Linked DNA regions of Diceros bicornis minor. The protein of the gene in region 4 binds, or shares a complex with, the protein of the main gene of each other region. Links are inferred from orthologs where the notes say so. Each region holds a gene or a part of one and is shown on either strand. Other genes may lie near its edges. The genes, in order: TCTE1, IQCG, IQCD and DRC1.

What was found.
Region 1: DRC1 (region 4) and TCTE1 share a complex: the UniProt entries of both Homo sapiens proteins name them as parts of the nexin-dynein regulatory complex. The link is inferred for Diceros bicornis minor from reciprocal best matches to the Homo sapiens genes DRC1 and DRC5.
Region 2: DRC1 (region 4) and IQCG share a complex: the UniProt entries of both Homo sapiens proteins name them as parts of the nexin-dynein regulatory complex. The link is inferred for Diceros bicornis minor from reciprocal best matches to the Homo sapiens genes DRC1 and DRC9.
Region 3: DRC1 (region 4) and IQCD share a complex: the UniProt entries of both Homo sapiens proteins name them as parts of the nexin-dynein regulatory complex. The link is inferred for Diceros bicornis minor from reciprocal best matches to the Homo sapiens genes DRC1 and DRC10.

What each region holds. Positions count from the first base shown.
Region 1 is NC_080753.1:21,572,215-21,579,471, reverse strand, and holds the start of TCTE1 (dynein regulatory complex subunit 5), read right to left. Parts: upstream 3,009-7,257; 5' UTR 2,939-3,008; intron 1-2,938. UniProt on the Homo sapiens protein: Component of the nexin-dynein regulatory complex (N-DRC) a key regulator of ciliary/flagellar motility which maintains the alignment and integrity of the distal axoneme and regulates microtubule sliding in motile axonemes.
Region 2 is NC_080754.1:26,646,713-26,654,270, reverse strand, and holds the start of IQCG (dynein regulatory complex protein 9), read right to left. Parts: upstream 3,021-7,558; 5' UTR 2,970-3,020; intron 639-2,969; exon of another isoform or gene 212-638; intron 1-211. Other genes in the region: RPL35A (large ribosomal subunit protein eL33), read left to right, coding at 4,173-4,183, 4,404-4,556, 5,725-5,869, 7,191-7,214. UniProt on the Homo sapiens protein: Component of the nexin-dynein regulatory complex (N-DRC), a key regulator of ciliary/flagellar motility which maintains the alignment and integrity of the distal axoneme and regulates microtubule sliding in motile axonemes.
Region 3 is NC_080774.1:11,198,095-11,205,268, reverse strand, and holds the start of IQCD (dynein regulatory complex protein 10), read left to right. Parts: upstream 1-4,156; 5' UTR 4,157-4,215; intron 4,216-7,174. Other genes in the region: TPCN1 (two pore channel protein 1), read right to left, coding at 596-707. UniProt on the Homo sapiens protein: Component of the nexin-dynein regulatory complex (N-DRC), a key regulator of ciliary/flagellar motility which maintains the alignment and integrity of the distal axoneme and regulates microtubule sliding in motile axonemes.
Region 4 is NC_080751.1:56,337,511-56,345,183, forward strand, and holds the start of DRC1 (dynein regulatory complex protein 1), read right to left. Parts: upstream 3,001-7,673; coding exon 2,846-3,000; intron 1-2,845. UniProt on the Homo sapiens protein: Component of the nexin-dynein regulatory complex (N-DRC) a key regulator of ciliary/flagellar motility which maintains the alignment and integrity of the distal axoneme and regulates microtubule sliding in motile axonemes.

The DNA.
Region 1 (7,257 bases), on a different chromosome or scaffold from region 4:
CTTGACCAAGTTACTTAACCTATCTGAGCTTCAGTTTCCTTATCTGTAAAATAGGATAAAATAGGATAAGCCTCCTATGCAGGCTGTTGTGCAGAAAATATCTGAAAAGAATACTGGAGTGGGTGTGTGGAGGATGAAGCACAGGGGTCTTAGGCTGGGGAGAAGACACCCTGGAGACCTGCTCCTTGCACGCGGACCTGAGATGGTATCTGTGAGCGAGGCCCTTCCCTAGCTCTCGGGGAGATGTGAAGGGCAAGGTGGCAGCGGTGGTGTTTGGGTCTGGAGAGAAGGACAGAGGGGCCTGATAGTCTGGGCAAGAGAAAGAGCAAAGAGGCAGCAGGCCAGCCCTGCTCCTGCCAGCTCCGTATCTGGGCTCCCGGGGCTCCCTCCAAGTTCTGACCTAAAACATTCGAGCATTCCCCTTGGTCCCAGATGCATCCTAAGTCACCTTGCGGGCCACACCCAAGGGAGCAGAACCCAGCTTGGCAGGGGGGCCCCAGGTTACTGGCCGGTGCTGCCCTGGAGCCGGCTCTCCAGGCCTTTCTCACAATAGTGCCCAGCCTTACCATCCTGGTAGGTGGTCCCTCTCCTTCCTCCTGGGAGGCCACATGTTGGGAAACCCCACCTGGGGACAGGCGGATGCTCTCTGGAACCGTGTGGCCCTGGTCTCACTGCCTAATGAATGCTTCACAGTCTTAGGACCTGGCTTCTCTTCCTGAGAGCAGCTGTTGCTGCTGTTGGGAGCTGGCAGCCTGCCTCTGGGTAGGACATTGCAGGACCCGCCCCAGGGTAGGTTCCAGGGCCCTGAGCCACCTCCTCAGAATGCAGGGCAGAGCATCCCTCCGTGTGCTCCACGTGCATGGCGCATGACTGGCATAAAAAAGAGTCCCTTCCGTCCTGCAGTGTTCACGGAAACCTCCATACCACGAGGCCTGACGTCACTTGTCAGGGAAATGTTGAAACCGTTAACCTCCTAATGTCAGAGTTGATAGTTTCACTTAATTACTTCTTGATTTTTTAAAAATAGATATTACAAAAATATTTTTGGCAAGCAAATTATTACTAGACACAGAGGATTCTTCTAAGGAGGATTTTAGTTCCAAATGTTTTTTTAAAAACATCTTTTTTGAAAAACTAATAAAACATCAAACAAAATATATTTAAAAGGATAATGAGTAAGATGAACTCCTTGCCCCCCTGTTGCTAACGTTATAAAGATGATGTCAAGTGTGGCCCGGTTATGAGCCTGCCCCCTGCCCTTCTCAACTGCTGCCCCTCTCTCGGCTCTCCTCCTGCCTCTCCCATCATTCTCAAAAAGTCTGCATCGCAGGATCCTCTCGCTCTGGCCTCCCGGCTCCAGTTGTGGTCCCTCAGGGTTCTGTTGGGAAGCCCCGCCTCACTCCTGTTGATGGGTTGCAGCTCTCACCTCCCCTCTGAGTTCCAGACTCAGCTCCACTGGCATGCATCCCGGCTCCCTCAAACTCAGTCTGCCCCCCAAAAGAACTCAGTGCATCCCCAAGCTGCTCCTCCTCCTGGCGCCTTACCTTGGCCAGGGGCATCAGGATGCTTCCGGGTGCCTGAAACAGAAGTTGGGGCATCACCGCTCTCCTTCAGACCCCCCCATCTGGTTACTGTTGGATCCCCTCCGTTCTGCCTCCCACCCCAGCAGGCCCTCCTCTCCCTTCCTGCTGCTGCCTTAGCTCAGGGCCTCATTGTCTGCCTGGATCGGAGCTTCAGCTGTCCAGCACCTGGGTCTGTCATCCAGTGTGGTCCTCTCACATCTAGCCTTCCCACAGCGGCCACGGCAGGCCACCGTGCGAGCTCTTCGGTGGCTCACCAGCGCCCACTGGGTACAGCCCAGCTTCTTCAACTCACTGTAGAAGGTCCTCCCTGACGTGATGCTCTGTTTGAAATAAACTCCTCTTTGCTTCTGGAACACTGCCTCTGGCTCATGTTGCCCAGCCTTTGCTCAAGCTGCTCCCTCTGCCTGGAATGCCTTTCCTACCATCTCAGCCTGGGAAAGGGACCATCATTGGTCTTTTGAGTCTGAGCTCAAGCATCACTTCCTCTCTGAAGCCTTTCAGCCCTTCTCGTCCCCCGTCCCCCAAACAACCCCTCCTTTGGTCAGACCCCCAGGACCTGGGTCACTTCAGTGATCCGATTGACCACCCTCTCCCCACACCCACACTGGACTGTGAGCTCTCAAGGGGCAGGGGCTGTTTCTTACTCATCTCTATCTCTAATCCCTCTAAGCCCAGCGTCAGGTCTGCTTCAGGTGAGGTAGCTGGTGTTTTGAGCTGCCCCAGCCCGTTCTCATAATAGATTCTGGCCAATAGGAGTATCCTGTGTTGGTCAGAGCGAGTGGTCCAGGGGTGGCCGCCTGATGCAAACCAAACAGTCCTTCTTGGGATTTGTCCAAGCGGAGGAAGACAGAAGGACATATGTCCTTGAAGGATATGGATCCCCTGCCTCGGGAAGCTATATTCCTTCACAGGGAAAAGGCCTGTCTGCAGCAGGAGGGAGTGAAGCCTGGTGGAGACAGAGAGAACTCCCGGGTACCTTCAGTCCCCAAGGCCCCCAGAACTGCCTGCTTCCTCAGCGGCTCCTTCGGTTCTCAGACCTAACTTGGCAGCCTTCTAACAAGTCCCTTTTGCTGAAGCTAAGACTTGGGTTTCTGTCCCTTTGTGACCAAAGGGCCCTGACCATTTGGGTAGGCTCAAAGTTTGGTGAATGAAATTACGGGAAAAGTCTTAAATCAGTAGACAAAATAGTTCAATGGGTTGGCCGAAAAGGGCCAAAGGCCCAGGTCATTATACACAGGGCCTGACACCTCACTCCTGTGGCCTCTCCCTCTCCTGACCACCCTGAGCCTCCTGTCTCCCCTCCCATCTCTCCAGCCTTCGGACAGTATCAGCACTTACGTGTGCTCAGCACTTACGTGTGCTCAGCACTTAACAGTCACAAGCTCCTTTCAGAACTCTTCTCATTTGAGCCTTACAACCACTCTACAGTGGAGGCAGGGATGGAGAAACTGAGGACCAGACCAGGAAATGACTGGCCTAGGACACGCAGGAGGGCTGGGCGAGGGCCTGAGGGCAGTGTCCTGCCTCCAACCACAGTGCACTGCTCCTCCCAGTCGCCCGTGTGTCCCCCTCCCCACACTTTCCCACCCTCCACTAGAAAAGAAGAAAGCACGTTCCTGCTCCCTGGGAAGCAGAGCTCCTAACATAAGGCTTTCATCCCTGTTACATTAAAATACATTCCCCCCTAAAAGAAACGAAATCTTAACATTACATACATGTGTCTGTGGATATATCCATGTTAACTTCGAACTGCTTTTTAAAAATGCATCTCATCATTTTAGGTCAAACAAAAGCAGAGTAAATTATGAAATATATACTGACACTAATGTAGCAAACTTTAAAAAAACGTAGAAGTCATGATATATATTATTCTTTGACAGTTTAAGTGTACAGAAATTTTATATATATATATCCCCTCTCATCAGTCATCCACACCTCAGTGTAAATGAGTTTCAGATCCAATAAGCAGAGTTAGGAAGGGGGCAAGGAGAATGTACCACTGAGTGGGGAGAAGGTGGGGAGGGCCTGCAGGAGGATGAGGAGGCAAGAGACCTGAGATAACTCCACCTGCTTCCCAGGGTGGCCTCAGTCTGGCCTGGGCATCACCAGTCTGCAGCTGAGGGTGGTGGTAGGTGGCACTATCTTCCCTGGAAGCCTGTGGGGAGGGTAGCCAGGGGCCCAGGGGCACCCAGACAGCCCCCAAGGGCCCTTAGAGGGCAGCCCCAGAAATGGCAGAGCAGTCACCTTCCTTTCTGGAGCCCTCTCCCTGGGGAACCCATGAGGCAGTCAGAGAATCCCAGAGTCTGAAGACTGGAAGTGTGTTCAAGACTCTGGTCCTTCTCCAGGGCAGGAATCCTCTGTGACATTCCAGAGAGAAGGTCCGGGCCATGAGGAGTGAGTGCCTCTTGGGCCACCACCTGGTGTCCCCATCGAAGGGCACAGCCTGCCCTCAGATGGGGAAAGTGGGCATGTGCCCAGTGACCTTTCATCTCCGGGCATCTGTCTCACGGGCCTGCTGGGCTTCACATGCTATGTTTCCAGCATCAACCTAACCCAATCCAGGACCGCGATCCCTGGGAAAGGCCAATCCTCCTTCCCCCAGGTCCCCACTCTGTGTCTTCAGGCCCAGGCCATAATCACATTCAGGCCATAACTCAAAGGGTTAGGTGTTAAGGTCTGCTCTCTACATGCCCAAGCACAGGTCATATAAAGTTACGGGAAGACCCAGTTTGGCCAGGGTTGTCTTCATTTTTGATGGCCTGTGTCTGGGGGCAAGTATTCTGGGAACCATACCCTTGCCTATATACAGCTACAATTTATTGAGTTCTAGGCCCTCAATAGTGTGTGCACAGCAGGAGGCAGCGGAGCAGCTCACTAAGGAATCAGGAGTTATACCACCTAAGGTCAACTCTCCACTCTGCCCCCAAGCATCTGTGAGACTGTGGCCGAGTCATTTCATCCCACTAAGCCTCCGTTTCTTCATCTGTAAAATGGGGATGGTAAATAATGGTCCCTACTTCATAAGATTATCCAGAGGATTAAAGGAGCTAATGTGTGTGTGAGACATTTCATATAGTGCTGGGCCCAGAGCCAGCATGCAAACTACGTGAAGATGTTAGATGCCTTACCTACGAAAGTTCATTAAATCTTCAGATTTATTATTGAGGATTATTACTGTTATAACACTATTATCCCCATTTCATGAATGAGGAAACAGAGGCTTAGAAAGCTTAAGTCACTTGCTAAGAGCCACATAGCTAGTGAGCGGAGAAGCTGAGGTTTGAGCTGATGACTGTCCAATGCTCTCCCTTACTTCCATCACAAAAGCATGGACAAATAATAAGATGTTAAGGTTTCTTCCTAAATTGCCCCTGACTCGGTCGGACCGCACCTCTCCAGTGGGCCTCCCACTTTCTCCAGCTCATGAGCACGCTCGTCACATCACCATCGTGGAGCCCAGGGTTACCCCTTTGTGCTGACCTAAACAGCCCAGAGTCCCCCTCAGTCACTGCCAGGTGCGGGGTCCTTCCGCAGAACTGGATCATCGCCTGTATCCTTTGACTGGAGGCCCCATGGGGACCCAAGAGAATACTGCAGAGCTGTGCTCTCTTGCCCCATGCATGGCTCATGCCAGGCCCCCCATGCTGTCACAGACCTAGGAGTCAGTGCTTGAATCTCTAGCACATTCCCTCCTCTCAGAGGAGGTCTCAGATCTTCTCCACCCTTCTCAAGTCTCCAGTTAAATCTAACCACTTTGGACAGAGGCTCCTCTCATCTGCCCAAATGGAAAGGTTGAAGATGCTGGGGAGGAGCCCTCTCCCCTTCCTGCTCACCACATCCCTGGCCCTCAACTGTCCTCACCTCCCTTCCTCTTAACTGAGAAGCTGAAGCGCCTGGCTCTCTTGAGGCCGTGAGCACCTCTGTGTCCCTGGGTACTTCCCTCTGGGCTGGCTCAGCTTTGATGGGCTACCCCCCAGCCTGCTGTCCACCCACCTCTCTGATTGAGCTTCCTTTGCCTTCTCAGCCAGCTTCTTCTTCACCCCAAAATGACCTAAGGAAAGCCCTCCCCAGGCGTCTGTCCCAGGGCCGGGGGCTTTTGTCTACATCTCCTCTGATCTCTTTCACGCCCACCATGTCAGACATTACCTCAGGCCAAGTCACTCCCAAATTCCCATTTGGGAATTCCCAGTTTGTGGAGTCACAAAAGAGGGGCAAAAAGTTTCTCTGACAGATCCCAGGCCCAGCATGCTGGTCTTGAACCCAGTGGGACAGTCAGCACACTTATCACACCCATGGGCCTGGCCCTCCTCCCAACTCCTGCCCACTTAGGTCTGTTGTCTTAGAAGGGACTCCAGCGGCTTCCCTCTCCACCCCTCACCCCTACCTTCGGCTTGGACCCCCCCAGCAGGGAAGCTCAGCTCCAAAGGCGAGTCCTTCCCCCAGCCCACCTGTGGTGAAGTAGCCCTGGCTGCACCTCGGTTACCAAGGCTGCACCTCCCTGCTGTGGGAGGGAGGGAAGGTGCGGGGGCTTCCGGACCTGCAGGAGGAATTGCAGCCCGAGGAGCTAGGGATGGGGGTCAGCCTTTCTTAGGAGACTGCGACCCCCAGTTTAGGACTGCTCTCCTCCACGACCTTCCCCTTCCTCCTTCTCACGGTCCCCCTCCCTTTACTCGCAAACCCTAAGCCTCTGCACCACTTTCCAGACAGTGACGGTAGCGGGGGAGGGCGCTGGGGGGCCCGGGTCCCTCCTCAAATGGGTGGGGTGGGAGCCTCCTGGAGGTACAGACCGGCCCTTCCTCGCCACACGAATGTGGGAGCCCAGGCTGTGGCCCCTGCGGGCTGAGGGCCGGGTGGGCTGATGGCGCCGGAGGGGCTTCCGCGCCCCGCGGCCAGGAGTGGGGGCAGGGAGAGGTCAGTCCCAGGGGAGACCCGGGGTTGAGCGTCCTCTCTCCCGGAGTTGTCTCACCCGCTCCCAGTGCCAGGGCGCTCGCCTTCCCGCAGGCCCCGCGCGGCCTCCCGGTCGTTAGGGACGCCCCGCGTCGCCAGGGGGCGGGGCCGAGGGCCGCTGTGCACGTGCGCGTGTACGCCCGCGCGTGCGCCCGCGTCTCAGCTGTGTGGCGTGCAAACACGCGGGGCTCTCCTTCGACGGTTGTCGCTAGGCGCTTTGGCACAGGGTTGACGCAAGGAAGTTTCCATCTAACGCGCTATGTGGGGCCGCCGTGTGGCAGTGGAACTCTGTGGCCCTGGGGCATGCTTTGTGCTCTTGGCGGACCTTTAGGTATGGATGGGCTTTTGTGGGGGAAAGTGAGGAGTGGGGGACCCCGGCAGGGCTCCTAGACTGGAGTGCTGTTTCTTCTTGGTACCTTTTGTGTGGAAATGGGGGTGGGAGGTGTGAATGAAAGACAAAACAGGAAAAGCATCAGTAGTCAGTCTCCTCTGGAAGATGAGGGTGGAAAGGACCCGCTGGAGTTACTGGAACTCCCCTGAGGCCTTCTGTTGACCCCAGGCCCTGCAGGAGAGCCGTGGGCGAGGGTGTCCCTGGGGAGTGGCACCTTGCACCTTTCTCCAGGATGTAAACAAGGCTGACACCTGGCACCAGGCAGGAAGCTTCCAGGCTCCACTGCGCTCCTTAACACAGCCCTAAGCCTGATGTCAACCTACCCTCTAGCACTGG
Region 2 (7,558 bases), on a different chromosome or scaffold from region 4:
TTCAAGCATATAAAACATAATCTTTACGTAAACTGAAAAAAAGATACTCCAAACTAGCCAAATTTTCTGTCTTAGGAGTCTTAGGAGGAAGTAGCGCGGTGTTAAGAAGATTTTGTTCTCTTGCTGTGTTGTCGTTTCTTTATTTTTGCATTTTTTAGGCTTGGGGCATAGGTAAATGTGCTTCCCAGAGGTAAGACAGGGCAATGCTTACGCAGTATCCAGTGCTTTCATGCTGTTCTGGCTTCTCGTTCCTCAATGCTAGAAACCCAGGGGTCATTCCTGCTTCCTCCTTCATCTTGATCAGCATTCCCCCAATCCAAACCATCACCAAGTCCTGTGGACCTGACCTTCTATTTCCATATCCCCCAACACCATGATGGACTTGCTGTTGTTTCGTGCTTGAACTACTCTAACAGGCTCCAAATTGGAGGTGATCTTTTAAAAATGAAAATCTGATCTGGCGTGGTGTAGTGGTTAAGTTCGCTTGCTCTGCTTTGGTGGCCAGGGGTTCGCAGGCCCGGATCCCAGGCGCAGACCTACACACCGCTCATCAAGCCATGCTATGGAGGTGTCCCACATACAAAATGGAGGAAGACTGGCACAGACATTAGCTCAGGGCCAATCTTCCTCACCAAAAAAAAAAATTAAAAAATAAAAAATAAATGAAAGACTGATCTTTTAAAATTGAAAATCTGATCATGTCTCTCCTTAGAACCCTTAAATGGTTTCCCCTTGCCTTAGGACAAAAACTAAAATTCTGAACATGGCCCATAAGGCCTACATGATCTGGCCCCCTCTGTTTCTCTCCAGATCCCTCTGGCACTGCCTTTTTCTTGCTCTCATGGCTCCAGCCTCAATAGGCTTCTTTCACTTCTTCTATGGAACCATGTTCCCTTCCAACTCAGGGTCTTTGCTTACACTATTCCTTCAACGTGAACCACTCTTCCCCTCACCTTTTCACCTTGTAAAGTCCCACTGATCTATTAGGTACCAGATTAAATCAGTGGCATTTTGCAGGTATCTGCCATTTGCCCCTCTAGGTCCAATCTCCACCATTTTCTGTGCCCTGAGAGACTGACCCAAATGGAGTGCACCAACGGGAGATTCCGGAAAGAGGTACAAAGTGTAGGAGAGTGAGGATAGGTATTTATTCTCCCAGCTCCCTCCCTGTCAGATCACCAATGGTCGGCTATATTTCTCTATCAAAGACCATGGCTCCCATCAGGCAATCCTCTCCATCTTGCTGTCTCTTGGGGACTCAGGAAACTTCTTCTTCCACATGTTTCTGGAGACTGCATCATCTCTCATAGTTTCACTCCTGCCTACACCTTTGTAAGCAGACTCTTTAGTAAATTTTCATCTCTGCCAACTGTTTCCTTCCAGGCCAACACTGACTGATACAATGACCTACAATGGCACACATACATTTTTACATATAGCTTATATATAAATATACATACATACAAATAACTGAAACAAAAGTTTCATGAAACAACTTACCCTTAACATGTGTGATACATTCTGATATTTTCAGTTCTAGCATATTTTACTTAAAAAATATTATAATCATGATCTACTAATGGGCCATCACCTGCAGTTTGTAAAATGCCTTAAATGACACTTCTGCAAGTGACATTTTCCTGACTCATCAGGCTGGATCAGGATTCCTCTGTTCAAGCACTCATTGCACTCTTATTTTTCAACAGCTCTCTTCACAATTTGTAATGTTTATGTCAGTTTCCCCCACTAGACTGTTAAGTTCCATGACAGCTGGAATCCTGATAATGATGCTCACTATTGTATCCTAAGTTTCAGGCATTGTGTTCAATAAGTATTTGTCGAATGAATGAATGAACAAAGGAATGAAACTCACACTTAATGTGTTATTCTTCTCAGGAGTACTTACACTTGGATTTCTAGCACATTTAACAGTGGGATTTCTAGTACATCTCTAATAGTGGGATTTCTAGCATATTTCTGGGACAGAGAAAATTGGATAGGGGATAGGGCTCTAAGGTAGATAATCTCTATCCTGATGCACTTAAAAGAGGATCTGATTTTAAATATGATTTATATACATCTATTCCACAAAACTTTGGAGTCATCCTTTACTCTTTCCTCTCTCATTCCTTACCCATCAGCAAATCCTGTCAGCATTACACTTAAAATATATTCAGAATTTCAGTACTCATCACCCCTCTCTACATGCCATAATCTCTCATCAGGATCATTATAATAGCCTTCTAATTGGTCTCCCTGCTGTTGGCCTTGCTTCCCTTCAGTCTCAACACAGTGACTCAGTCACTCCTCTGTACAGAACCCTCAAATGGCTTCTCGTCTCAGAGTAAAAGCCTCCCTTACAGTGGCCTCCCTGCTTAATTTTTCTCCATTGAGAAAATTTGTCTCACATCTCCTTCCAATGTGCCATTTACTTGCTTATTGTCTTGCTCCCCCTACTAAGATGTAAGCTCTATGAGGGCAGAGATTTCTGTTGTTTTGTTTACTGCAGCGTCCTCCGAGCCAGGAACAAAGATGGTACATGGCAGTCATTCAATAAACTATTTGTTGAAAAAATGAATGAATCCAAAGGGTAACCCAAATAAATATGCAATAATTAGGAAACGTAAATCTCTGATGTCTACTGATCTATCTTATTCTAGTCTACAAGTACTTACTGAAGACCTACTACGTGTGGGCACGGTGCTGGGGGCCCCGAGAGTTTGCCTGGCAGCTGAATGAGTTATCTTTAAAAGGCAGTAAAGTCTTTTCAGGGCAGTCCTCCTCACCATCGGGGGCAAAACGAAGGATGGAGGTAAGAACTTAAGTCATTTCTTGGAAGAGATAAAGGAGTAGGAGGAAAGGAGTAAGAAAAAAAAAAAAAGGTAAAGAAAAGGAACAGCTCCTCCTGCCTTCGTGCTCTCGGCCTTTCTCTTCCAGGCTGGGATCCGAGAATCTCCGTTGGCCTTTACCTGTGTGGTCAGAGGGAAAGATACCCCCATGTTGGCGAATCAAATCTGGGGTACTCGAGGCCGAGGGGGGGCCGCCACTCTGGCTTCACTTACCCACCTACAGAACCCGACGCACAGGAACCAAACTAAGGTGTTTCTATGGCAACGATCACCTTTTCTTATCCTTTAGCTGTCTAGCACTTTGCCTTCCTCTGTTCCGAAGTAATACATGTTGCAGCTTACAAAGATAAAAGGACTTAGGGAAATAATTTTAAAAGTGCTCTTTAACATTGCTTGTTTCAGTCAGAAGACGATTTCCGAGGCCTTCCCCCCCCCCCCACCCCCGGCGGTCGCGGAAGATGCCTAAACTGGGGGCGGACCCATGTTTATCCCACAAGGCCGCGCGACGGGGCCTCCACTTTCTTTTTCCGCCATCTTGGAGGCTGTGGAGGTGAGGGCGTCTGCTGTTGCTGAACTTTGGGGGAAAATAACTGGGATGGGCTCAACTTTATGCCTGAGCGAGGTACTGCTGCGGCTCGGGGGCTCTGCCAGTCAGTGATTTCTGTGGATTCCAGCAACAGAGAGGACAGGATGGAGGAGATGTGGGGCTGATGGTGCTGGTCTCCTGACGCCCGGAGAACGGGTGCTCCGGTAATCGGAGTTGCTTCCTGGACCCTAGCGGAGTGAAGTAGATGCACTTTGTCCGTCTAGCTCGTTTTTTGAGGCTGTGACTCCTTTAGGCTGGGTTCTGTTTCCATTTGCTCCTACTCCAAGCTTGTCTTACTTGTCTACAGTCTCTCTCCTCAGGTTTATTTTCCCATTCAGTGCTTAAAAGTCTTGTTTTCTGCGTGCTTCTGTGACTCCTTGGCCTTCATTTTTTTCTACTGATCGTGGCATGAATTTTCTTAGGGCTTCCTTTTGGAGTTTGTAAGAGTTATTTCTTTTAGTGTCGGGTGTTGACAATCATTTTTGTCTCCGTTTTGGAGTTTGCCTAGGTATCATGCATTCTCTGAGGTTGGGGTGTCTTGCCATACTGTGCTTCGTGTAGATGTGATGGCTTAATTATATTTCCCCATAGTCTTAACGTGACATGCTGATCAAAAAGCGATTTGCCTGACAGGTTTAAGAAACGGGAGGGACTAGGTGGGAAACGGGCGCTGCAAGATTTTAAACTGATTGTTTGTTTTAAGGCCTGCCGGAGACAGGACTTCTAAAACGACGAGTATGTCTGGAAGGTACGCGTTTTAAATATAATTGCTTTGTACTTGTAGTTGTTTTTTGTTTATTGGGTATGAACCTAAATGTAAACTTAAAACTAGTGGGGAAAAAATTCGATGTTTGGTATAGATAACTTTTGGGTAGGTGTCGTTACAAGTCAAATCATACTGGTGGTTTGTTGAAGTTAAACGAGATCTTTTAACAGCTTATGGTTAATATATGTCTTGTGTGTCGTAGGCTGTGGTCGAAGGCCATTTTTGCTGGCTATAAGCGGGGTCTCCGGAACCAGAGGGAGCACACAGCCCTTCTTAAAATTGAAGGTGTTTATGCTCGAGATGAAACTGAATTCTATCTGGGCAAGAGATGTGCTTACGTGTACAAAGCAAAGAAGTAAGTTTATAGTATTGTTATGCTTTTTGATTTTTGTCTCATTTTCATTTTGAAAGAAGAATAAACAAAAGATGTTGGTAAAGTGGTTGGTACTGTTGTAGCTTCTACTTTGGGTCTTGAAGGAACCTGATGGTAGGTTTTAGAAGGATGTAACTTTTGTGGGTGGTGGTGGATTTAGGTATCTTCTGCGCTTAGAAAAATTCCAGCTGTTAATTGTTTCAAGGACGGAGCCAAGTTCTCATATTATGATCCTAAGTTTTTATAGGGCACTTTCCATGTGCCTTAATTCATTTTGTTGATTCCTTGAAATTATGTTATATATACATGGTTAAACATGTTCTCTCTCTAGAGCATTGGTTCTTAATCCTGGGTTCTTAAACCCATTCCAGACCAATTAAAATCTCTAGGGACAGGCTTTCATCTTTGCCCTGCCTTTCCTCCTGCAAGCAGAGTGAGCCTTGAAAATTATAAGTCAGATCATCTGTATATTGCTCAAACTCCTCCCAACTGTTAGCCATCTCATTTAGTAAAAGCCAAAGTCGTTAAGGAGCCCCTAAGACCCTGGGCATTCAGGGCTCCCTGTTTCTACTCTTAACCCAGCTAGGGTGATCAGCTAGGATTCACCCTTGGGGTCTTCTGCCTTTCCACAAGCCAGGGACACAACCTCCTCAGGTTTTTAACACAGGCTGTTGCCTTATCTTCTAGTCTTTGTTCCAGTGTTAGCTTCTCAATGAGGACTTCTCTGGCTGTTTAAAATTGCAAATTCCTTCCTCTCCCTGGACACAAACATTCTCACGCTTCTTGTCCCACTTTGCTTTTTTCCCCCCAATATTGTAGCTATTACCATGTGACATTGTATATATTTACTGATTTATTACTTGATTATTCTCTGGAAGAGGTTTATGTTTTGTAAATGGCTGTGTTTTACAAAATTACAAAAAATTACATTTATAAGTGTTTGGCATACAGTAGGTACTCAAAGATTTGTTGAATAAATTATGCCCCAGATTCCCCCCATTCCCTACTCCTCCTGCCCCCCCCACCCCCCATGACTAAGTGGTTAACTAGGGTTGAGAGCCACTGGTCTAGAGATCACCTTGAATTTCTATCACATTGTTGCCTGGGTTCTCATGCTTTTTTTTTTTTTTTAATCCCCTTTTAAAATAAGCAACACAGTGACTCCTGGTGGCAAACCTAACAAAACCAGAGTAATCTGGGGAAAGGTAACTCGTGCTCATGGAAACAGTGGCATGGTTCGTGCCAAATTCCGAAGCAACCTTCCTGCTAAGGCGATTGGACACAGAATCCGTGTGGTAAGTACAGTTATTAGCAGTATGGCACTCTGTTGAGTCAAACTAAGCTCAAGGGGTTGGGCTTTCACTCTAAGAACTATTGTGATTATAAAACATCGCCTGTAGGTTATGCTGCAAAATTAGTGGCTACTTCAGCTTTTTGGCATTAGAAAGAAAGTGAAGGCAAAGTATTCAAATGGATTGTGCCTAGATTTCAGATTTTGTTAAAGCTGCTTCGGGGGGGGGGGGGGGGGGATCATTTAAATGAACAGTTTTCTGGCAAAGATATTGGGCACTGAAGTATTTTCTAGAAAATAAAAATTCAACATACGTTTTCCTGGCATAATTCTTAATATTTTCCTATTGCTTAATCATGACAGTCTTGTTAAAATAGGTGTTATTGGGGGCCGACCCCGTGGCTTAGCAGTTGAGCGCGCACGCTCCGCTACTGGCCGCCTGGGTTCGGATCCCAGGCGCGCACTAACGCACCGCTTGTCCGGCCATGCTGAGGCCGTGTCCCACATACAGCAACTAGAAGGATGTGCAACTATGACATACAACTATCTACTGGGGCTTTGGAGAGAAAAAGGGAGAAAAAAAAAAAACGAGGATTGGCATGGATGTTAGGGCTGATCTTCATTACAAAAAAAATAAATTTATAATATAGGTGTTATTAGCCTTATTTTATGGAAGAAAACTGATGCTCATGTTTCTCAGTCCCAGGACTTTGGCCCAAGTCTTCGACTCCAGATCCTGTGATTTTCTAAAATAGCTCCTGTTTTCTTTAGTCAGGATTCATTTAGAGTAGGCATGGCCGTATTCTTGAGGTCACAGGGTGCTTTTGAACCCTGCTGAGCAGTTGAGATTTCTCATCAGAGGAGGTTTTTACTCTGTAGGAGAAGCAAAATTAAATGGACTTGCACTGCTCCCAGTACTTGTTCCTAATCAAAGCGGGTTTACCTAGAGACTGAGGCTATAAAAACTCAATTCCCTCCCCACCAGGATAAAAGTTGTCATTGGACACCTTTCAGAAATGAGTAATGGCTACCAAAGGGGAAGGGAGGAGGGTGAAATGGGTGATTCACACATGTGTATGGTGATGGATGGTAATTAGTCTTTGGGTGGCGAATATGATATAATCTACAGAGAAATTGAAATATAATGATGCACAGCAGAAGTTTATATAATGTAATAAACCAATGTTACCTCAATAAAAATAAAAAATCTTAAAAGAGTAATGGGACAACGGAAGGAGATTTATCCATATTGTAGTAATTGATAACATTTGTAAATTTGTATGTAACATGCACCTAATGACATTGTGTTCTTTTTCCCCCCCCAGATGCTGTACCCTTCAAGGATTTAAACTTATTGAAAAGTAAATAAATAAAACTGGATTTGTTCCCTTGTATTTTTATTAAATGGCTTAAAAATCTCTTTGCCATAAAATTTAGTTGCTATGTGCTCAAATTTATCAGGCATTTTCAGAGTATAAGGAAGCCAGAGAGCTACATGTAATGGCAATTACAGACATTAGACAATAGGAGGATAGGATGTAAGTATTTTAATAAGGCCTTAGGTGGTGGGAGACAGGGACAAGTAAGCTTTGGGGACAGTGGAAAGGAGTATCTTGGAAGGCTTATAGTGATGGAGCACTTGAACCTAGCCTCAGAAAAGCTTTTGGACAAATGGAGAAACAGCATGTTCCAG
Region 3 (7,174 bases), on a different chromosome or scaffold from region 4:
CATTTAAAATTTTAAAAATTTAAAGCTCGCAACCTCTCTTGGGTTCCCTTTGTGCTAGGCTTTGGTTTAGAGGAAGACAAAGCAAAACCCCAAACCCTCAAATCAATGGATCCTGGCAAAGGCTTGCCCCTTTCCACCCCATTCTGGCAACGCAGGCACCAAGCTCCAACGGAAAGCAGCAGTCAACTCCACTCTCCTGCCAACGGTTTCAGGTTGGGGCAGACGGAGGCGGGTGTTGAAATCGGTTTCCTTTTTTAACAAGGAACTGGGCAGGGAAGTTCCTGGGCAAGGAACCTAGCCTGGGAGCAGGTTAACCTGAAGTCCCCGCCAAGCATCCCCGAACAAAGCCAGGGTACTCAGGTGCCAGGGAGGCAAGGCGCTGATGGGAGCGAGGGCCCCGGGAGGGCAGAGCAGCCCCCGGAAGCATCCAGAAGCTGGGATTAGGACCCCACAGTCTCCCAGTAGTTTGTGAGAACCTGGAGCCAAATGTGGGGTCAGGAATTAGGGTACACACATCTACTATCAGACCACCACGCCCACAACTCGCCCCTTGAAATAGAAAAGTTGCCCCCCACCAGCCCACCCCACGTCTTACTTCTGCTGGGCAGCTCCTCTCGGCCCAGGCTGTTGGACGGAGCCAGTGGGGCACTGCCACCCTCGTCCAGGGTCAGGATGAGGGGCACGTCGTCATCCAAACTCACAGCCATATGCTCTCTTCTCCTACAGCCCTCAGGATGCGATGTCCAGGGCTTCAAACAGCCTCTGCTTGGAGCTCCCTTTCAAAGCCACTGGCCCAGAGGTGCTTCTCAGAAACTCCTCCATTAGAGACATCTTCTAGACAATAAAAGATAGACAGGGATAAAGAGAGAGATACAGATGAAAAAGAAAGAGAGACAATTATCAGAATACAACCACTACTGATGAAAATGTTCTGGAATTAGATGGTGGCAATGGTTGCATAACCTTGTGAATATACTAAAGACCACTGAATTGCACCCTTTAAAATGGTGGATTTTATGATATGTGAATTATATCTCAAAAAAATAAAGAAAAATATTGCAATACAATAGCATTAAAATATGGGGAAAAACTCTGCACGAACAAAATCTGAAAGTTAGGGGTAATTATGTCTGGAGCTTCAGATTCTGGCTATGTTCCCCCTCCACCCACCTTACACTGGTGTTTTGAGTTTTGTAAAGATTTGAGACTTAAAAAAATACAACTGTTAAAATAATAGTAGCTAATACTCAGTGAGCACTTACTGTGTACCAGGTATTCTTACAGCAATTTTTAAGTAAAGCTGATTGAAACTTTATTAATAGACAGGTAGGATTATTATCCTCCATTACAGAGGGGGAGGAGACTTTAGGCTCAGAGAAGTTAAGTAACTTGCCCAAGAACCCACAGCTATAAAGTCAGGCTTTGAACTATGCAATCTGACTCCAGACCCGAGCTCCTAGCCACTACACTAGGATTCCTCCAAGTCCTAGCCCTGGCGTTCAGGCAGCACCTCGCCCCAATGACCCGTAAAGAGGCAGGGTGCCAGGTCATCTATGCTCGCCCACAGCCTTCTCATACAGGTGTTATTCTCCTCGATTTAGAAGCTTGAGGAGGGCCGGCCGTGGCTTAGCGGTTAAGTGCGCGCACTCTACTGCTGGCGGCCCGGGTTCGGATCCCGGGCGCGCACAGATGCACCGCTTCTCCGGCCATGCTGAGGCCGCGTCCCACGTGCAGCAACTGGAAGGATGTGCAGCTGTGACATACAACTATCTACTGGGGCTTTGGGGGGAAAAAATAAATAAATAAAAATCTTTAGAAGTTTGAGGAGGAGGGCGAAGAGAACAAGAGTGTTTTTTTAAATGATGTCCAGAGTCACACAGCAAAAGCGCTCATCCTGAACTCTCAACTGAAAACGCTCAGAACTAGGCAGTTACAGGTCCTATTTATACACATTCCCATTTCCGCTGAGGAGGGCCAAAAGAAAAGCAAAGACTCAGCAGATCTGATAGCAGACCTTTGACCTTGAAAACAGCAGCAGATTCCTTCCTCCAGCTGGACCCTTCTGGGCTTAGTCAACTTTGCCTCCCAACTCGCCCACTGAATGGCCACCTGGAAATTGACCTCTTCCACAAATCATCAGAATAACCCCAAGCAGACCCCTGTGCATCAACATCCTCTCAAAACAAGGTAGCAAAAGTGAGCACCATTCCCTTTACTGCTAAGCCTGCAGCTCTCAGCCCCGCAAACTTCCTGTGAGATTTTTTAACATTTCCTCCAGATCTGGGGACCTATTCTGCTTTTAAATCTCAGTTGTGGGGAGACAGAAGAGGAAACCCCAAATGAGACACTACCATTAGACTGTCTTAAGAATTACGTGTTTTGGGGCTTTTTTTTTTTTCTTGGTTTAACGTTCTACCACAGGTATTTTCAAACATACTCAGAAGTAGAGAGAATATGTAAATGAATTTCTTTGTATCCATCACTCAGCTTTGACAATTATCAATATCTTTGTCATTCTTTCTCGAATTTATTTTGAGGACAGGAGACTCTATTAACCGTCTGAACTCAAGAAGAGGTTTCTGATCATTATCATCATAACGGCTAGTGGCTTTCATTTTAACTGTTTAATATATAACTGCTTGTATGCATTGTCTTGGCCCTGTGGCTCTCAACTGGGGTGATTTTGTACTCTGGGAGACACTAGCAACATATGGAGACATTTTTGATTGTCACAACTTGGGGGTGGGGGGGTTAGAGGGAGAGGCCAGGAACCCAGCTGAACATCCTACAATGCACAGGTGAGTCCCACCACAACACAGAAACATGTGGCTGAGAACGTCAGTAGTGCTGCTGTTCAGAAATCCTATTTCATTAATATCCCCACTTTACAGATGAGGAAGCTGAGGCTTGGAGGAGATAACTCAACTTGCCTCTTGTAGGTAAACAGCAGGGAAGTGGTGGAGACCAGAGTCGAATCCGAACAGATGAATTCAGGGACCTTTCCCGGCTGGACCCTATACCGCCTCCCAGGAACAGGCTCCCAATTTGAATTCAAGCCCATCGTGTTACAGAGAGGGAAAAGTGAGGCCCAGAGGGGACAAGCCACTTGACCAAGGTCACACAGTGCAGGACTCCTGAGTCCCAGCCCCGTGTTCCTTCCGCGGGCTTTGCTTCTGGCTCTCTAGAGGACCCAGAAGGGAAGGGTCACCCCTGGGGACACGTCCCAGGAAAGAGGGCCAGCAGCCTGACCGGGGCACGAGTCTCTGGCGGGCTGGGTCGCCTGAGGGCGCCAGGAAGAGGAGCAGACGAGGGAGGAGGAGCGGGGAGAGAAGTGCGGGCTCCGGCTCCACGTGCTCCAGCCCCGGTCTGGGCCCCGCGTGGGGGTCGCCCCGGGAAGCCAGGGGGCGAGCAGAGGGGGTACAAAGCCCGGGCCCGGGCTGGAGGGAGAGAAGCCCAGCGATGACTTCCCCGCAGCCCCTCTGGGCCCGCCCAGCCCGCCTCCCACACCCCAGCGCCCAGCCGCAACCCCTTACTCCGCGCCCTCTGGCCCCTGACCCCTGCCCTCTCAGGCAGCCCAGCCCCCGTCCCACTCGGATTCTTACACGCGCCGCCCCAGCAACCCGGACCGCGCGCCAGGGTCCGCACCGCGCAGCCCAGCCCGCCGGCGCCGCCGCCGCCGCCAAAGCCGCGAGCCCGGAGCTCTTGCAGCCGCCGCCGTTTCAGCCGCTGCCACCACAGCAGCTGCGCCAGCTCTCGCGTCCACCTCCTACCGTCCCCTCAACTCCAGCGGCCCCGCCCCATTTCCCCTCCGCCACGGCCTATTGGCTACCTAGGCTGCCATGGTGAACTCTGATTGGCCAAGCCTCACGTCCTTCTCCAGTTCTCGCCCGCTGCCGAGGCAGGACTCCCTACCCGCCTCCTTGTAAAGGGGCGGGACAAAGAAGCCCCGCCCCTTCCCCTTCTGCGCTCCCCGCCTTACTCGTTCGGCCCAACCCAGAGGGCGTCCCGGGTCTTTCAATTGGTGGAGGGTCAGAGAGACGGTGCTCCTGATTGGTCAGGCCTCAGGAGGTGGGGCTAACTGGGCGGAACAAGGAATTGAATGGTGAAGAGGAAAGTCAGTCAGACGCCGAGTCCCGCCTTCCGAGGTGGGTAACCTAGCAACGCAGGTACCGCGGAGGTAACTGTGGGTAGAGAAACCAGGAGCTCTGCGAGCAGGTGAGTGACCAGGTGGGGAAGGGCTAGAGATGACGGGGAGATGTGGAATGGGGTCTACCCGCTATCCTTTGGCTCCCTGAAGAATCCGTAGCCCGCAAGGCGATCCTGTCCCCGCCCCAGGACCGTGCTCTCCAGCCCCTGCCTCTGTCTGGACCTCCCCCTCGACCGCCTGCGAGGACCACTGGACACCCTCTTCGGTGTCTCTGCCTCTCGCCTGCCCGTCCGCGTGTCCACTGCATGGTCCCGCTTCCTCGTCCGTAAAACGTGGGTGATACTAGTCAGATGGAGTCGCATCATAGTTAACTAATTTCAAGTCAAACATAGGTGGTGGGGGTGAGAGGGTAGTTTATAAGCCCCCTACCACTCTACCCAACGGCCAGACATTCTAGCATGAGCGTGCAGTGAAAGGCATCTCACTTGAGTGAGTGTTAAAGTTAGGTCATTTTGATTATACCAATTTTTGCCTTTAGAGTTTAACTCCCACCCTTGTCCTTAAAATGTGATTTTGTTGCACATACTTAAGACAAAGGGTTTGTTGTGAGGACTGAATGAGGTAAGGCAATGGAGAGCTTGGCATGGAGCCCAGCAACATAGTAAGTGCTCATTTAATAGTAGCAATTTTTTTCTAAAACTCACCCATCTTTGACTCTTCTGGCTTAAAACAATTCCAAGGGAGTTATCGTATTCCATATCTTACATATTCATATATTCAACAAGTATTTACTGAGTGCCTACTACTGGGTGCAAGGGTAGAGCAACCAATAAAAAACTTTATTTCTCCCCCCCATGGAGTTTGTCTAATGTGGGAGAGAGTCATTAGTCAAATAATATACAGATAAATGTAAAGTGACACCTGTGGAGATTCACTTCCAGAATGATGGAATGAGGAGGTTGACAAATCTTTTCCTCAAAAAGCAATTATAGTCCATCGATGGATGAATGGATAACTAAAATGTGGTATACGTACAATGGTATATTATTCAACTTTTAAAAGGAATGAAATTCTGATAAATGCTACAACATGGATGAACCTTGAAGACATATGCTGAGTGAAAGAAACCAGACACAAAAGTCATAGAGACAGAAAGTAGAATAGTGGTTGACAGGGGCTGGGGGGAGGGGGAAATGGAGAGTTAGTGTTTAATGGGTACAGAGTTTCAGTTTGGGATGATGAGAAAGTTCTGGAGATGGACAGTGGTGATGGTTGCACAAGATGCGAATGTAATGTTAATGCCACTGCACTGTACACCTAAAATGGTTACAATGGTAAACTTTATATGATGTATATTTTACCACAATAAAGAAAAAGCAACTATGAAGCTGAACAAAACTATCTAGCGCTATATTAGCACTCTGAAAATCAACCAAAGGCATACAACAAACAGAGCATTTATTCGTGAAAACTTCTGAGCCTTAAGTTTGTGATGCACTTACCTGGGGCTTCTCCAGTTTCCCCACCCCCAGTTCTATTTGCATAATAGTTCAACCAGGGCGAGTAGCCCATGAAAACCAGTCTGATGGGGCTCACTTGATTTGGAGCATTGTTGGCTAAACTGGCAGTCTTGGTGGCAAGAGATCAGGGAGAGCCAGCAGCTCCAGAAGTCCAAAGTTGCAGTCCTACTTGGGGACAACAGTGGCCTGACAGCTTAGAATCCTGGGAAGTGAGGCAGCCATAGGGGGCTTGATAAGCTCTCTACATATTCTGGTTGGCCAGGGCTTATGCACATGTGTAGTAGAGACTAGACCAGCCCAGGCCACTTACACATCCCTGGCCAGTGGAGCCTGTGTAGACGAGCAGAGGAGACACAGGGGGGTCCGGCAGAAACTAAGAGTCAAGGCAGACTTGAAAATGACCTGAACATTGACTGCACTCACCAGCAGAGAACAGAAGCCTTACTAGCTCAAAGTGTTAGAGCACAACCTCTGACCAATTTTTGGCTGAATATTAAGCTATGCAGATACAGGGGCGACCCCTAGGAAGCCAGGTTTAGAAATAAAAATGAGAAAAAAAATTGAACAGAGACATCAGTAACCGCACGTTGTGGAGGAGACCAACTCGACAGATTTAGTCCGGGAAGTAACTTAACAAACACCCAAGCAAAACAGTAACAAGGACGACAATCATTAGGAAGAAAAAAAGTTGAAATACAGAGTTGCTACAAATTTTATCTAAAATTTTCAGTAGTCAACAAAAATTGTGAGATGTGCAAAGAAACAAAGAAATGTAAATATCCTCAGGGAAAAAAGCAATCAATAGAAACTGTCTCTGTGTGTCCCCAGATGTCGGCTTTAGCAGACAAAGACTTCAAAGCAGCTATTATAAATACATTCAAAGAACTAAAGGAAACCATGTTTAAAGAATTAAAAAACAGTAGGATAACAATGACTCATCAAATAGAAAATATTTAGTGTTATTCTAAAATAGATTGTGATAATTAAGATGCACATTATAATCCCTAAATCAACCACTAAGAGAATAACTCAAAAAAATAGTTTAAAGATCAACAGAGGAATCAAAACAGTGGGCTAAAAAATATTTATTTAACACAATAAAAGGCAGTAAAGAAGTAACAGGGGAACAAAAAAAGACATGAAATGAGACAAATAAACAACAATAGCAAAATGGCAGATGTAAATCCAACCATATGAATAATTTTATGTAAGTTATTAAGTGTAAATGGAAAAAAACACTTCAATCAAAAGGCAGAGATTGTCAGACCAGATTAAAAAAGCAAGACCCAAATATATGCTTCCTGTAAGAGACACACCTTAGATTCAAAGACACAACTAAGTTGAAAGTAAAAAATTGAGGGGCCAGCCCCATGGCATAGTGGTTAAGTTTGGTGTGCTCCGCTTCAGCAGCCTGGGTTTGCAGGTTCGGATCCCAGGAGCAGACGTACTCCACTCATCAGCCATGCCATGGCGGTGACCCACATATAAAGTGGAGGAAGATTGGCAC
Region 4 (7,673 bases):
AGAGACATGACATAAACAACAAGAGCCCAGTTATTGAAAACACAGAGAAACCGAACTTGAGTTATTTCAATTCTATCATTCTATATGCAACTCGTTCTCTAAACCTTGCAGAATTCATTCTTTTGGAAACATTTCTTCATATGATTTCTTCCTTTTTTTCCCAAAAATACATTAATGTAATTTAAAAGTATTGATCCATTAGCTTTTTCTTGTTTTGTACTGTAAATTTTATTTTAAAAAATTTTATTGGCATGGTTATATAAACAAAGTTCAATAAACTTTTCTTTTCAGGCTATTATTATTATCTGTACTTTAAAAATTACCTGCTCCAGGTGTTAACTTCATTAGGTACACCACTGCATCTCACAGATTTGTTTTTTCACCAGCATCAATTGGCCATTCTAACCCCATCTTCATATGACAGAGATGACCCTTTGTCAATGTTTCCTCTGCTATCAACTTCTAAATGCTGGGCTTTTTCGGGGCTTGGTCACGAACTCTCTTCTCATCTCTTTTTATCCTCTTTCTCAGTGTAATTTAATTCAGTCCCATGGTTTTAAATACAATCATAAGGCTGCTGACTCTTTGCACTAATATCTCTAATGCAGAATTCTCTTCTGCATTTAAGACCCATATCCAGCTGCCTATCGGACATCTCAATTTTAATGTCTTACAAAATCCAACTTTGCTTAATATGTTCAAAACCAAACTCTTGATTTCCAATTCCAGCCTCACTACCCCCATCACTGTCTTTACCCTCTCAACGAAAGGCACTACCATCTACCTAAATGCTCAAGCCATTCTTGCTTTTTCCCTGTCTTTTACCAGCATATCCAATCAATCAGTAAATCCAGTCAATTTCAACTCCAAAATATGTCTTGAGTACATCTGTTTTCTCTCCAAACCCACTGCCACTAACTAGCCCAGACCAACTTCATCTCTCACCTGGACCAATGCAACTGCTTCCTAACTAGTCTCCTTACTTTCACTTCTGGCTCCTCCAAACCATTCCCCAAAGAGCCACCAGAGTGATCTCAACATACATAGAAATTTAAGAAACTCCCACATTAGGTCCTTGGTCTGTAGGTAAGAGCTATCATGGTGTGGAAGGCAAAATGGGCCCCTCCGAAACTGCATTTGAGTGCATAAAATAACAATATCGCAGACCAGGGGGATGGTGGGGATTAGTGTCACCCTTAAAGATCTCAAGGATGCAGGAGTGGTGGTGCCTATCAAGTCTGCATTTAATTCACAGGTCTGGCCCCTGCAAAAACTGCATAGATCTGAGAAAATTATCGTCAATTACTGCAAGCTCAACCAAGTAGCAGTCCTGATGGCAGCTGCCTTGCAAGTGCCATGCAGCCTTTACTAGAGCAGATCGGTGTGGCCTTAGGTGCATGGAACGTGGCCACTCATTGACCAAATGCATTATTTTCTACCTCAATCAGGAAAAAGGATCAGGAAGTTCCCATTTACATGGAACAGATAATAATATATACTCACATAGCCCTCACACTCACAAGGCCATGTTAATTCTCCCGATCTCTGTCAAAATATAGTCTGAACAGATCAGGACCATCTGGACATTCCACAGAATGTCACAGTGATCCATTACATCAGGGTTGGCAAACAACAGCATGTGGACCAAATCTGACCCACCTGTTTTGTATGGCTTACAGGTGAGGATTTTTACATTTTTAAACGGTTTTTTAAAAAGATCAAGATGAATAAGCAGAGCACAGAGGATTTTAGGGCAGTGAAACTATTCTGTATGATACTACAATGGTGGATACATGTCATTATATATTTGCCAAAATTCAGAGAACACCGACAGTGAACCATGATATAAACTATGGACTTTGGGTGATAATGATGTGTTAATGCAGATTCATCAATTGTAACAAATGTACCACTCTGGTAGGGGATGTTGATAGTGAGGGACATTAAGCATGTGTGGGGGCAGGAGGTACATGGGAAATCTCTGTACTTTACCTTTAATTTTTCTGTCGAACCTAAAATTGCTCTAAAAAAATGAAGTTTATTAATGTAGAAACAAAATCGAAATATGAAGAATATTTTGTGACACGTGAACATTACATGAAATTCAAATTTCAGTGTCCATGAGGAAAGTTTTGTTGGAATACTGCCATGCCACTTTGGGCCCCTTGTGTCCGATGGCCAGCAGACAAGAAGAGAAGTCCCATCTTGGCAGCGCAGCTGACCCTGACCAGCAGGACAAGGTATAAGTGCTGTTACACAGTGAGAGTGTTAAGGAATTCAGGGGATCACGCAGTGTCTCTTGGTACCCCATTATGACAGCCCACTGTGTCTGCGAATGGACAAGGGCAGCAACTCTTGCCTGAGAAGGGTATGGTTATCAGTCTCAGACCCTTTGGGAATGAGGGTTTGTGTCCACAAGCAGATAAGCCACTGAGACCAGCAGAAGTGGTAGCTGAGGTCCACTGGATACATACTTGTGGAAGGGAGGCAGGCTGGGAAGGAAGGAGGAAAGACAGACCCCTGAGGGCTAGTGGTGGATCTCCTGCATCTTCGGTGGATTGCCCACAGTGTCTGGCACGGCGGGCTCTCAATAAAAGTGCAGACGGGATTATTATTTCCGTCTTTGACTTTACTAGTGTGTTGAACATTCTAATATCCCATACTTTACTTGAACCCTCTGGAAGAAATGTTTTCCATTTCATCAATCAACAAAGCCCGCTCACATTTGGGGCACGCCGAGCCCTCCCACAGGGGCGCCCGCCCCGGGAAGCCATGCCCTCATGCCCCGCACTGCGTCACCGGCACTCCAGGCGCTCCGCGGTCGGACCGCCCAGACCCCGCTCACCGCCTCCGAGCTTCCAGGCGCGCCGCGATGCGGAGGCGCCGGGCCTGGATCCGCTCCTGAGGGTTATCAGAGTGTATCGAGGGCCCGAGAATCGGGGTCGATAAGTGTTCCTCCTCCTTCTCCTCCAGCACCCCCAGCGATCCCGGCGGATTCATAGCGGATGCCTCCCGCCCCCCAGGCAGCCCCGCCCCACCACCGCCAGACCGCAGCCCCGTTGGTAGCAACAAGCCGTTGCCAGGGAAGAGCAGTCACGTGACCCGCAGCTGCAGTGATTGCGCGCGCAGCTCAGGCCCCGCCCACCGGCATTCCGAACGCTGTAGCGCAGATTCGGGTTTCGTTCTCTTCTGCAGTTGGGATGTAAGTACCGTCTTGAGCCCCCACCAAGGCCCAGTCGTATTAGCGGAGCCTGGAAGACTGAAGAGCTGGACCAAGTGTAGTTCATCACTTACTCACCCCGATTATTAATTCACCATTCATTCATCAAATGAATATTCCTCAAAATCATATTCATCAAATATAATTGAGCACCTACTCTGTGCCAAACTGTGCTAGAGCTGAGGATACAAGCGTTGTCCTTTCCTCATGGAGGGTGCAGAATAATAGGTCTACTCTGAGCCTATTGCCTCTTCAGATACTTTGAACTAAAGTATATTGTATACATCTATTCGTCATCCATTCATTTTTGAGCTACTTTGTGCATTGAGCCCCTATCTTTTCTAGAATGTGCAACCACTATCATTAAATTTATATCCAGCAAGGGATTGTTGTCTTCTGTAGCCATTTTCAGTAGGGCTGAAACCTAGGAGAATCCCACCATCACCACTTCCAATCACACGCTTATACACAGAGGAAAATAGTGAGGGCGGGGATGGGCGGTGGGGTACAAATGAAAGTTAAGAGCGCAGAAGCACAATTAAACTCTCAAAGAAGCACCATCCCTTGAAAAAGCACTATATCCTGGGCGTTTTTTGTGTCTCATTGCCAACAAAAAAGTGTTCTTATTGAAAATTAAAACCCTTTCAAAAACAAACTGGATAACGTTTGACGGAGTCTTGTCACACTGTCCTGTGGGAAACTCGGGAAAGGGCGCTGGAGCAGTGAGAAAATGCAGGTAGTAGTCCTAGACCTGCCCTGCAACCTCAGGTAAGTCGCAACTTCTTGAGGACCATTTTCTCAACTGTTATATGGTACCATCTGCCTACTCAACTCACATGCAATTGTGAGGCCAAAGAAGATAAGCTCTTTGTGAATAAGACCTACCCAGAGTCAAATGGAGTACTTTTTTTTTTAATTAATTTTTCCAAGTCTTCAAGTGGTAGAGAGATTTAGGAGTGCCAAAATCTTGCAGCAGCCGAGTCCAACAGCTGCCTGGATCCTTGTCCCATATCTAGCCCAGGGTGGGGGAGGGGATGTTTGCTTCAGGGTCCTCTGCCAAATCTCTCTCTTCTGGCTGTAACCTCAAGCGTTAAACTTCCCTAGGGGCCATGGAATCAGAGGAGCAAGGTATAGTTTTGACCTCGAACTCTTCAAGGTTCTGGTCTGTGTTTCTACCATCTGTGAGAAGAGAAACAAATACACGTGTGTGTGCATGTCTATGGCTGGGAGCAGGATACCCTGAAAGTCAGTGGGAACCAGCTGTTACACCACAGATAGGTGAGAGAGCAGGGGTGCCACAAAACCCATGAAAAGTGATCAATGAGATACTCGGCCTTAGAGCTGTCCCCAGATACCTTCATTCCAGACATCTTTTGTAATGAATCTGACTCTTTTTTTTTTGCTGTTTGATTGTTGACAGCTTTTAAGCCTCACGCCTTTCTTCCTCTCTGCTCCAGATCCCGGCAGCTGATTAAAAGAAAGGAGGGAGGGGGCCTGGGTGCTCTCTACTTTGGCGCTGGCAGGAGGTTCCAACTGTGTGAGCTGGGTCCTCTCATCCCAGCCCCCACCGCCTAACCACAATGAAAGCCTCAAGACAGTCTCCTTTCCTGGCTCTCTCCAGCCATCTTCCAATCAGCTGGGACGTCTTCCTTGCTGTCACAGACAGCCTCAATTATGTAAGTAATAAAGCTTATTCATAGGTGTGGAAAAAAAGACACTCTCATTCACTGCTGGAAAGGCGTCTTTTAGGAGGACAGTTTGCCAATATCTGTTAACAGTTTAAATAAGCATATGCACTGACTAGGCAATTCTACTTATAAGAATTATCCTTGAGAGATAATAGGTCTAGGCTATAGCTCCATGGGGTCAAAATGACATCAGTTTTAGTCAGTACTGTATGTTCAGCACCTAGCCCAATACCTGATATGTAGTGAGTGCTCAACAAACATTTGCTGAATGCAAGAAATGGACACAAATGTATCGGTATGCTCACGGCAGTTATTACCCAGTTATTAAAAATTTATTTTATTAAATTTTTATTAATATTTATATTTATTTACAATAATTTGTATTAATTAATCAAATTTATTATCGTTATTAAAAAACTGGATATAACCCAAAATCCATCAACAACAGAACTGATAAAGCATTCATAGGATGAAAAACAATGCAGTCACAAAGAATGAATCTGACCTAGAAAGACATCCAAGATCTATTAAATGAGGAAGGAAAGATGCAGCACAAAGTGTAGAGTATGATCCCAGTTTTATTTGAAGTATATGTAGTATGTACACAAGAAAAACAGGGAAAGAACACAAAGTAGTTGATCTCTCTAGGGGTTGGGTCTATGGGTGGTTTTCATTCTCTATTCAAAAAAAAAAGTTTACAAAGAACACAAATCACTTTTGATGTAATAAAAAATAAAGTTTATTTATTCATTTATTATTTTTTTAAAGAGCAGTGACAGATCCTGAAGAGACTGCAGCAAGCAAGAGTAGTAGGGCTGTCACGGATGAGAGGAATTCGGGGAGGGATGTCGCTGAGGATTCACTAGCCTTCAGAGACTAGTCCTCATGTGGCAGGCAATTCTCCAAAAGCAGACCTGCTTTTGAGAATTGACTTATGCTAATACACTCATGAAAGAAAAATATATAGAGAATACACTAATTTGAGCAAGAAACTACAACTGACACACAGAGCATATGTGTTTTATGACTGTGACCAGCACATCTCCATGGCTGATCTACAAGGGACTCAAACTATAATTGGGAAGCTTCTTGATAATGGACAACAGACTGTGACAGACTCAGTGGCCTACAATGGGTATAACTTGCCACAAAGATTAGACAGGTCAAGTCCTTGAGGCATGGCACCCCCATGCCTCGGTAAGTTTTGGGTGATACATGCAAAACCTCCTGGCTATAGGGGCTTCCTTTGCTATGCTACAGGCTGGCCATCTACTTCAGCTTACAGTCTTTTTCCAGAAAAATAATGATACATTGGTTGGATTTTAGCATGCTACGTCAAGTCGCACACTTAATTCTACATCCATAAGGTTACATCAAATCACCTTAATTGGGGTTTGAGGATTCATCAAATATTTACATAATTTCTTGGTTTATTCCTATCTCCTAATGTGTGTGAATTTTACTAATAGATTCTCAGAAGGCAATCTTATTTTATTCTAGTTATTTTTAGAACTGCCTCACCATCATCTTCCTGTATTGCCTACAAAAGGTATGAAGGAAGGAACAGAGAAGGGAGGAGGAAGGAGGAAGGCAAGTCATGAGCAGGTCATAAGGCTGAGGAAAAAGTTCAAAGGTAAAAAACTGAGAACTAGGTATTACTAGAAACCGAGCACCTAGCTTAGACTACTCCTGTGCTGAACACTCTACATGCATTCTTCATAACACATAATTGTAGTAATATTCCTAATCCAATTTTACAGATGAGGAAACTGAGGCTTAGAGAAAATAAGTCACTTGCCCTGGGTCAAAGCTTGCAAAGTTGAACATGACTAGGAAATAGTCATTATAGTAAAGCTTTGGGAGGTCTTGAAAAACTTTCAGAAGAAAAGCAAGAAGAAAAATGGAAGAAGCAGTTATAAAGTTTTCTTTCAGAAAATTTGGAACAGAAGAAACAAGATGAGAGCAGGGAGAGAAGCAAGACACTTTGGGGCACAGGGTCTAAGTTTAATAGACCCAAGTGTGGTCACCTAGTACGCACCTGCAGGGTGTCAGGTAGGCGTGTGAGGTCTGCAGAGAAGGGAGGAACAACTGCCAGGGCAGCCAAGGGGTGGGCAGGGGATTAGGAATGGCCCGCCAAGAACTAGCTTGGGTTAAATATGGGACATTTCCTCCTCCACCTTCTTCAAACCTGTTACAATTTTTTTAAATGTCCACTGCCAGAACTGGGAGATCAATTCCGATGTAAAAAATAAGAAATATTCTCCTCGGAAGCAATGTTAGAAAATCAGAGTTTTTATAAGAGCTTATGGTTTACATACTGTAGTTTTGGTGTATTAAGTGTGGGTTAGTAGGTTCTTGTAGAATTAGCCTGGAAAATGAACTCTTTCTATGGGAAAATGTTTCTTGAGTATGAAACAACCACCTTACAAACTATTTAAGTGTGATCCAGTTATTATGACCCAGTATTATTACATATTGCCAGGACCAGTTCTGGGGGAGTTCGGAGCAGTATATTATGAATAGCTGTTACTGCCGCCTGCCTAGTACCCTGCTTTCTGAAACAAATCACAGGACTATGGAACACCCAGGAGCAAGCAGGCTGATCTTTATCTTAAACAAAACAAAAAAAAATCCTTTAATTGTTTTGCTCTAAAATAATCAATGATTCTCTGAGACAAGTGGCTGGATGTTAATTTTCTCCCCATAGGTCCCTCCCCTTTTGCACCTACCAAGGAAAAACAAAGACGACAATCCGAAAACCATTA